Linked DNA regions of Pelodiscus sinensis. The protein of the gene in region 1 interacts with the protein of each later gene in a pairwise test. Links are inferred from orthologs where the notes say so. Each region holds a gene or a part of one and is shown on either strand. Other genes may lie near its edges.

Region 1 (3,916 bases):
TTAACACCTCATTTACATCAAAAGCAAAGTACAGGACGCTTCCAGCCCACTCGTTAGCCTCATTAGCACCAGCACTATTATATTATTGATAGACAATTTTCTCCCTGCCACTGACTCTCCACCCAGGGCCATCCTCATGGACAGTGGGTGAACCTCCAGCTAGGGGAAGGCAAGTCCCACCTCCCCCATTCTGGAGCCAAGCCCAGGTTACTGCTCCCAGCCCTCTGAACATGCTAAGACCCCTTAGTCTTATGTTTGGAGCAGGCAATGCAATCCTTTGCCTACGTTACCTCCCCCCCTCCGTGGCCATCCTTACAGTTTATGCTGCCCTAGGTAGAGGAGCAGGGTGGGGGGCTGCACTTAGGGCCGTGGGAGGGGCAGGAAGGGGGAAGTGCTGCAGCATCCTCACTTTTTCATGGGCTCCCTGTTGCCACCAGCCCCTCCATACACAGAATATGCAGCTGCGTGGGGGCACCAGCCCCAAATTTCATGGCACCGTACACAGCTGTGTGTGACACCTAAGGACAACGCTGCCTCCCTCCCAACCTGTAGCGCACCTATTCTCCCTGTCCCCCAAGGTTTGCACCGCCGTCTGTCCTAACCCAGCTCCCGTGCTCCGGACTGAGACCCCTCCCAATTCATTGCACTTATGAGCCGGCGGCCGGTCTCGAACCCGTGGCACTCCAAGGGGCCGGCCTAAGCCATGTCCCAGGAACGCAGAGGGAGCCGGAGCCGGGCCGTACCACGCTGAGCAGAGCGGGGGGGGGGGGGGCTTTTGCGCCGTAACCCCGCTAGCCCCGCCCTGTCCAGAGTGCTTAGCCTATCACCGCGGCGGTGCCGAGGCAACGGGCCCTCCGGTGAGTCGTGATTGGCTGGAGCCCGTTGTGCGTCCGAAGGGGCCTGGGCGCCGCGATTGGCCGCGAGGCAGGGAGGGGGCGGGGCTTGCGCCCGGCTGGGCTGGAGCTGGGGGCTGCGGCGCTGCCGCCGCCTCCATATTGCGGGGCCGGGAGCGGAGGTGGCGGGGTTGCGAGTCGCGCGCGGGGCCGGGCAGCCTGGGCGCCGCTGAGGGGGGAGGGGCCCTGGGGGAGCTGCTCTCTGGGAGGGGGGACTCTGAGGGGGGGGTCCCCAGGGGGTGCTGCTCTCTGGGAGGGGGTGACTCTGAGGGGGGGTCCCCAGGGGGTGCTGCTCTCTGGGAGGGGGGACTCTGAGGGGGGGGTCCCCAGGGGGTGCTGCTCTCTGGGAGGGGGGACTCTGAGGGGGGGGTCCCCAGGGGGTGCTGCTCTCTGGGAGGGGGGACTCTGAGGGGGGGTCCACAGGGGGGTGCTGCTCTCTGGGAGGGGGTGACTCTGAGGGGGGGGTCCCCAGGGGGTGCTGCTCTCTGGGAGGGGGGACTCTGAGGGGGGGTCCCCAGGGGGTGCTGCTCTCTGGGAGGGGGTAACTGAGGGGGGGTCCCAAGGGGGTGCTGCTCTCTGGGAGGGGGGACTCTGAGGGGGGGTCCCGAAGGGGTGCTGCTCTCTGAGGGCGGTTCCCAGGGGGGTGCTGCTCTCTGGGAGGGGGTGAGTCTGAGGGGGGGTCCTGGAGGTTGTCCCCTGAGAGGGGGTGATTGGGTAGGGGGTCCTCATCTCTGAGGACTAGTCTTTCCCTGGAGGAGGCGTGACACTGGGTGCTGAGTTCCAAGAGGTTGGATTCCCCTGGGAACACAGACTCTGGCTCCCTGGGGTGCGGGGAGGGAGCGGCCCCTGAAAAGCGTGCTCGTGGCTGTGGAGGTCCCAGGGAGATAGTATTCCTTGGGTGGGGGTGACTATGTGAGTTGGAGCCCCCTGAGAGAGCGAAATTGTGGGTCCGTGGTGGGGCAGCATCTCCTGGAGGGATTTTCCCCTGTATTGGGATACCTGAGGGGTGTATCTCCTGAAAGGGGTGATGCTGCAGTGAGGGCCTGTGGAGGTTACTCTGCGTCCATTGATTTCTGGAGGGGTTGTACGTTTGCCCCGTGGCCTGAGTCCTGAACCGTTGGGTGAGGATGGCGTGGGCTCTGAAGCTGCCGCTGGCGGACGAGGTGATCGAATCGGGGCTGGTGCAAGATTTTGATGCCAGCCTCTCAGGCATTGGCCAGGAGCTGGGCGCTGGTGCCTACAGCATGAGGTAAGTGAGATCCTCCTCACCATCATGTCTTACACCATGGATTGAGAGGGGTGAGGGGAGTAGAATGTGAGGACCACTGCCTCCTGGAGGACTGCACAGCCCAGGGGTAGTTGGACATCGTGTTGGACTGGGCTGAACAGATAGCAAAGTGTACTACAGATGTCGTGTTGAATGGCTGATAACTTTCTGGTGGATTGATTGGAGCCCTCATGAGGTTGGATAAGATCAAGAAACCAGGTTGTGCAGGAGCCTGTCTTCGGTAGTGATTTGTAACAAGGGGATACCAGACACACACCCACACACACCCCCCAGCGTTTGCTCTGCATGTTACATTTGTGAGCATGAAAGATGACGTGAAAACAGTGACAGGGCGACTTGGAGAGAAGTATAAAACCCAAAGATAAGGTAGAATTTAGAAGAGAGAAAAATGTGTATGAGGAGGACCTGAGGAGTTAGCAGGTGCTGGGAGCCAGAGTTGAGTTCTGTGTCTGAATTCTAACAGTTGGGTTGGATCATGTTATGAGTTTTGTAAAGCCTCAAATGAGAGTTAATGGGGACTGTGTGCTAGGGATGTGAATGGATAACCAGTAACAGGTGAGCCTTACCAGCTCTGGTTAACCAGTGGGCACTGGAGCAACTCCCTGCTCCCCGTGGGCAGGCTGCTCCAGCTTTGTGGGGCCCACCACAGCTGGGAGGTGCACCAGCTGGGCCAGAGCAGTCCCTGTCAGTGGTGATGAGGGGGGGACTCCAGCCCAGATGTCACCAGTGGGGAGGCCACTTGGGCTCCTTTTAATTGGTTAACCGGTTAAACATTAGGTTTAACGGGTTAACCAATTAAAAAGGATTTTACATCCCTACTGTATGCTTCAGGGTGTCATCTGAATGCAGGGTCAGGAAGGATTTGGATTTCAACCCCTTAAGTTCAGCATTGGTTAGATTGGGGGAAGTTCACCTGCCTCTAAAAATATAAAGTATTGGCCATGGTGGAAGGCAGGTTTCCAGGTTGCATGGACTGTTCCTAGAAAGAGGGTATAGTGAATCCATTCCTCTGCAGTCTGGCCTCTTGCTGATATCGGGTTATGGGTAAACCGTCCAGACTTCGGTATGCCATGGGCGCAGCGCTGCAGCAGCATAGCTGCACTGATACAGCTGAAGTATATGTGCTAAAGATGTGCTATATCATTGGGAAAGAGTTCTTCTGTGGGCATTTAAAAAAAAACCAACCCTCCGCAAGCGACAGAAGCTGTGTTGGCAGAAGACGCTCTCCCACCAGTATAACACTGTGCACACGGGTGCATATGTCGACGTAATTTATATACAGCACTTTGAGAGGTGGACTGTTCACATCCCTGAGCAACGTAAGTTTTGCTGACATAGGCTGTAGTCTAGCTATAGTTTAAATCCTGTGCTTCCCCATCTGTTGCTGATTAGGAGACCCTGTCCCATGCAGTCTTTGTTCTGTGCTTTCTCAGCTAATTAGGTTGTGTGAGATCCTCCTTAATCTTGCCCTGAATAATCACCCCGAGGGGAAGGAGAGGTGTCTTTCAGCTCTGGATGATCTGAGCAAAGGCGTTAGTATCTTAAGTCAAGAGTGATGTTGATGAAACAGAGACGGTTCAGAGAAGAGCCATGAAAGTGATTAAAGGGTTAGAAAACATGCCTCAGGGTTAGTTTGTGCAGGAAACTTAAATCAGTCTTGCTGCGTCTATTGACCTGTGAAATATCCATACCCCTGAAGGATGTAGCTAGCCCCCCAGTGTGGACAGGGCTAAGT
Region 2 (3,916 bases), on another chromosome or scaffold:
AATGCAAGCCTTTAGAAATAAAAACTGTGATATGTACATATTATGGCTTAGTTATAGTAAAACAGCATGCCTGTCAAATTCAACCCAAACATTTATGTAAACCATACATGAACAGAGACTATTAATTCCTTAAGCAAGGAAACAAAAACCAGGGAAACATACAGTAGCAGCAGTTCACTAGATACAGGATTAGTATTCCAAGAGTGAGAGATGGAAACAACCTATTAGATCACCCAATCCATTCCTTCTGCGGGCAGAAGAGACTCTGCCACTATAGATCTTAATTGCCTTTCTGTGCAAGAAGAAAAACTAGTAATGCACATAAGATACTCTGAGTCTAACATATTAGTTTTACCCATATTTTAAAGCTAAGCTAAAATGTTCTTGTTAGTGATGTTGTAGGTCACCGTCAATGATATGTACATTACCAAAATACAAAGGTGTGTTCAGTCCTACTGGCAGATAGAAATCTGCAGTTGCTTAACCATCACACTAAGAATTTCTTGCCTGAAAATTCTTTCAGGGAATTGTATTAGTATTTGCAAATTAGAATAGTCAAATAGTACCTTATTTTCCCTTTATAAAGCAAGGCTAACTCTGTAATTCAAATCTGAGTAGAGTCTTGTCCATAGGAAACTCACCAGAACACAGCCATGGCTGTGGATATTTTACTACCTGGAAAAATCTGATCAATCTGGCCAATTTTAAATTTGCTTATAATAATAGAGCCCTTGCCAACAAATCCTAATTTTAAAATGATGTATTTCAGATCCTCCATGGAGTGTAAAGTTATATCACTGCATTAGTATTCTAAATCTGGGAGCACATTTGAATGGGTATTTATGGAGCTGAACGTCCATTTGCTTTTGTTTCTAGGCAAGGGTAAGAAAAAAGAATGTGTAAAAACAAACAAAAGAACCCTGTTCACTAACCTGATCGGTTATCCTTGTCCTCAAAGTTCACATGGAAGGAGTGTCCAATGTTGACAATCTCTTTGCAGGTGCTCAAATTCCAAGTGACATGGAGATGCCCCAGAGAGGGATCTTTTTTTACATTCTTGGTTTTAATGTCAATAGGAGACTGAAGGTTTCCATTGGCAACTGGGTATAATTTGTGCCACTGGTCAGGTCCTAGACAGACACAAATAATCTCATTTAGTTCTTAATTGCTACTTTAGCTTTAATATATAATTCCCAAATTGTGGTGGTTTCTTCTTGAATAGTTGTAAAAATAATCATAGACTCATGGAATACTAGAACTGGAAGGGACCTCAAGAGGTTATCAAGTCCGGTCCCTGCCCTCAGGGCAGGACCAAGCACCATCTAGATCATTGCTGACAGATGACTATCTAACATGCTCTTAAATATCTCCAGTCTTGGAGATTCCACAACCTCTCTAGGGAATTTATTCTAGTATTTAACCACCCTGACAGTTAGGAAGTTTTTCCAAATTTTCAAGCTAAACCTCCCTTGCTGCAGTTTAAGCCCATTGCTTCTTGTCCTATCATCAGAGGCCACAGAGAACAATTTTCTCCCTCCTCCTTGTAACACCCTTTTAGATACTTGAAAACTGCTATCAAGTCCCCTATCAGTATTCTCTTTCTAAACTAAACAAACTGAATTCTTTCAGCCTTCCCTCATAGCTCATGTTTTCTAGATCTTTAATAATTTTTGTTGCTCATCTCCGGACCTTCTCCAATTTCTCCACATCTTTCTTGAAATGTGGTGCCCGGAACTGGACACCATACTCCAAATGAGGCCTAAACAGCCCAGAGTAGAGCGGAAGAATGACTTCTCATGTCTTGCTCACAACACTCCTGTTGATGCATCCCAGAATCATGTTTGCTTTTTGCCACAGTGTCATATTTAGCTCGTGATCCACTATGACGTCTAGATCCCTTTCTGCAGTACTCCTTCCTAGACAGTCACTTCCCATTTTATATATGCAAAACTGATTGTTCCTTCATTAGTGGAGTACTTTGCATATCTCCGTATTAAACTTCATCTTATTTGCCTCAGACCATTTTTCCAGTTTGTCCAGATCATTTTGAATTATGACCCTATCCTCTAAAGCACTTGCAACCCCTCCCTGCTTGGTATCATCTACAAATGTAATAAGCGTACTCTCTATGCCAATATCTAAAGCATTGATGAAGATACTGAACAGAACCAGTCCCAAAACTGACCCCTGCAGAACTTCACTTGTTATGCCCTTCTAGCATGACTGAGAACCATTAATAACTACTCTCGGAATGGTTATCCAGTGAGTTATGCACCAATCTTATAGTAGCCCTGTCTAAGTTGTAGATTAGTCCTCTTTAAATATAAAAAAATGTATCACTCTATATGGTCTGATCACTGATTTATGTCTCCTTTTATCAAAAAAGAAAAGAAAGAGCCCATCTTGGTCAGTTAAATTAGTTTGCTATTAGGGAAAGTTATTCTTACCATTGTCACCTTCATAACTCCAGTTTAGACTTGCCATGTTCTTCTAACTGCAAGATATTGTCTTCAAAGAGAAATTGGTGGTGCCTGTAGTTGCTGATTCTGGGATGAGGCCAGTGCTTTTCTTCACTACAGAATTTCTGCGTTAGGCTGGGGTGTTTATATACATCACCAAGTAAGGGATTTGGCAATACATTATAATCAGATTTTATAGAGTCACCTGATCTCATGACACTAGAAATGGGTAAAGAGAAAGAGGGAAAAAGAGAGAGAGAGAGGGGGTTGGAAGAAAAAGAACAGAGGTTTACAGTCTATGTATCCTTACCATTTTGATTCAGTGAACATGTTAAATTATAAGAGACCAATAAGATTTTAAAAGTTAGACCCTTGTATTTGTTTAAAGGTTGGCAAAAGGTATCTGACACATTAAACCTCCAAGGCCAAAATTTGTCTTTGAATTCAGTGGGAGCAGCTGAGAGTTCTTCATTTTTAAAAATCCCAGACATTTATTTAGATGTCTTAAATATAGACTCAGGAACCTAACTTTAGGCATTTATTTTTTAAAATATTGGCTTTGGTACCTTTGAGTAATGTAAAATACATAACTCAGACAGTTGAAATAGTTTAACAAATGTGTTAATTATAATGCAAAATAATATTCTTCTTAATAATAATTCAGGTCCAGACCAACTCTCGTGGATCCAAATATAGCAGGGATGGTCCCAGACTTGAACATGTGGGGGAATAATTTTAGGGATAGGGTCTGTAGTGTTTTCTAGGGAGGGGAGGTCCTCACTGAGATATCCTTCTCAAGACCCACTTTGTATGGATTTTCTGCAAGAAAATCTGTACCATAAATGTTTATTCATAAACAATCTAGATATTTCTCTCAAACATTAATCTAGTCATTATGGTCCTAATTCAAGATCCTGTCCCTTATTCTGGACAGCACTCAAGCTAAGGGGGGGCTGAATTGGGATGGAATTTAAACTGCTTTTCTGAACATGGGCTTATAGTGTCAACCTACCATCTATCAAGTGGTTTCAGATCAATAAAAGTGAAGCTCTTTTTTTATAATAAAATATTTGGGCCTGATCCTGCTTTTTTTATTAAAGCTAAACCAGTTGGATTTTGCTTGAGTAAAAGTTGCAGGATCCGGCTTTTAAATGCCTATCTGTAGGATTTCACGTATAATAAACTTGCACTTCACCATACCACAGTATAATTAAATAGTTGTGCTGTTTATTTATTTCCAGTTGTTAATAAGCACAGAATTTCAAGGTAACAATTTCTACGTAAAATAAGGTTCAACATAACATATTTAAACATTGCCCTGTCATCCTGCGTTGCAAAAACATGAACCTGTTTATGTTTTTCTGTTACTGCTGCAAACCATTTTTGGTAGTAAACTGCTGATATCAGAATCATGCAGCTGTCCAGAACTGAAGACAGGCACACAAGATACTGTTGTG

Evidence for each region.
Region 2: the proteins of TFCP2 (region 1) and CA1 interact in binary tests that used the Homo sapiens proteins (3 or more experiments, as listed by UniProt). The two-hybrid records come from large-scale screens. The link is inferred for Pelodiscus sinensis from reciprocal best matches to the Homo sapiens genes TFCP2 and CA1.

What each region holds. Positions count from the first base shown.
Region 1 is NC_134729.1:2,094,302-2,098,217, forward strand, and holds the start of TFCP2 (alpha-globin transcription factor CP2), read left to right. Parts: upstream 1-1,552; 5' UTR 1,553-2,020; coding exon 2,021-2,142; intron 2,143-3,916.
Region 2 is NC_134712.1:46,162,420-46,166,335, reverse strand, and holds the start of CA1 (carbonic anhydrase 1), read right to left. Parts: upstream 2,607-3,916; 5' UTR 2,485-2,606; coding exon 2,448-2,484; intron 1,131-2,447; coding exon 933-1,130; intron 1-932. UniProt on the Homo sapiens protein: Catalyzes the reversible hydration of carbon dioxide. Can hydrate cyanamide to urea.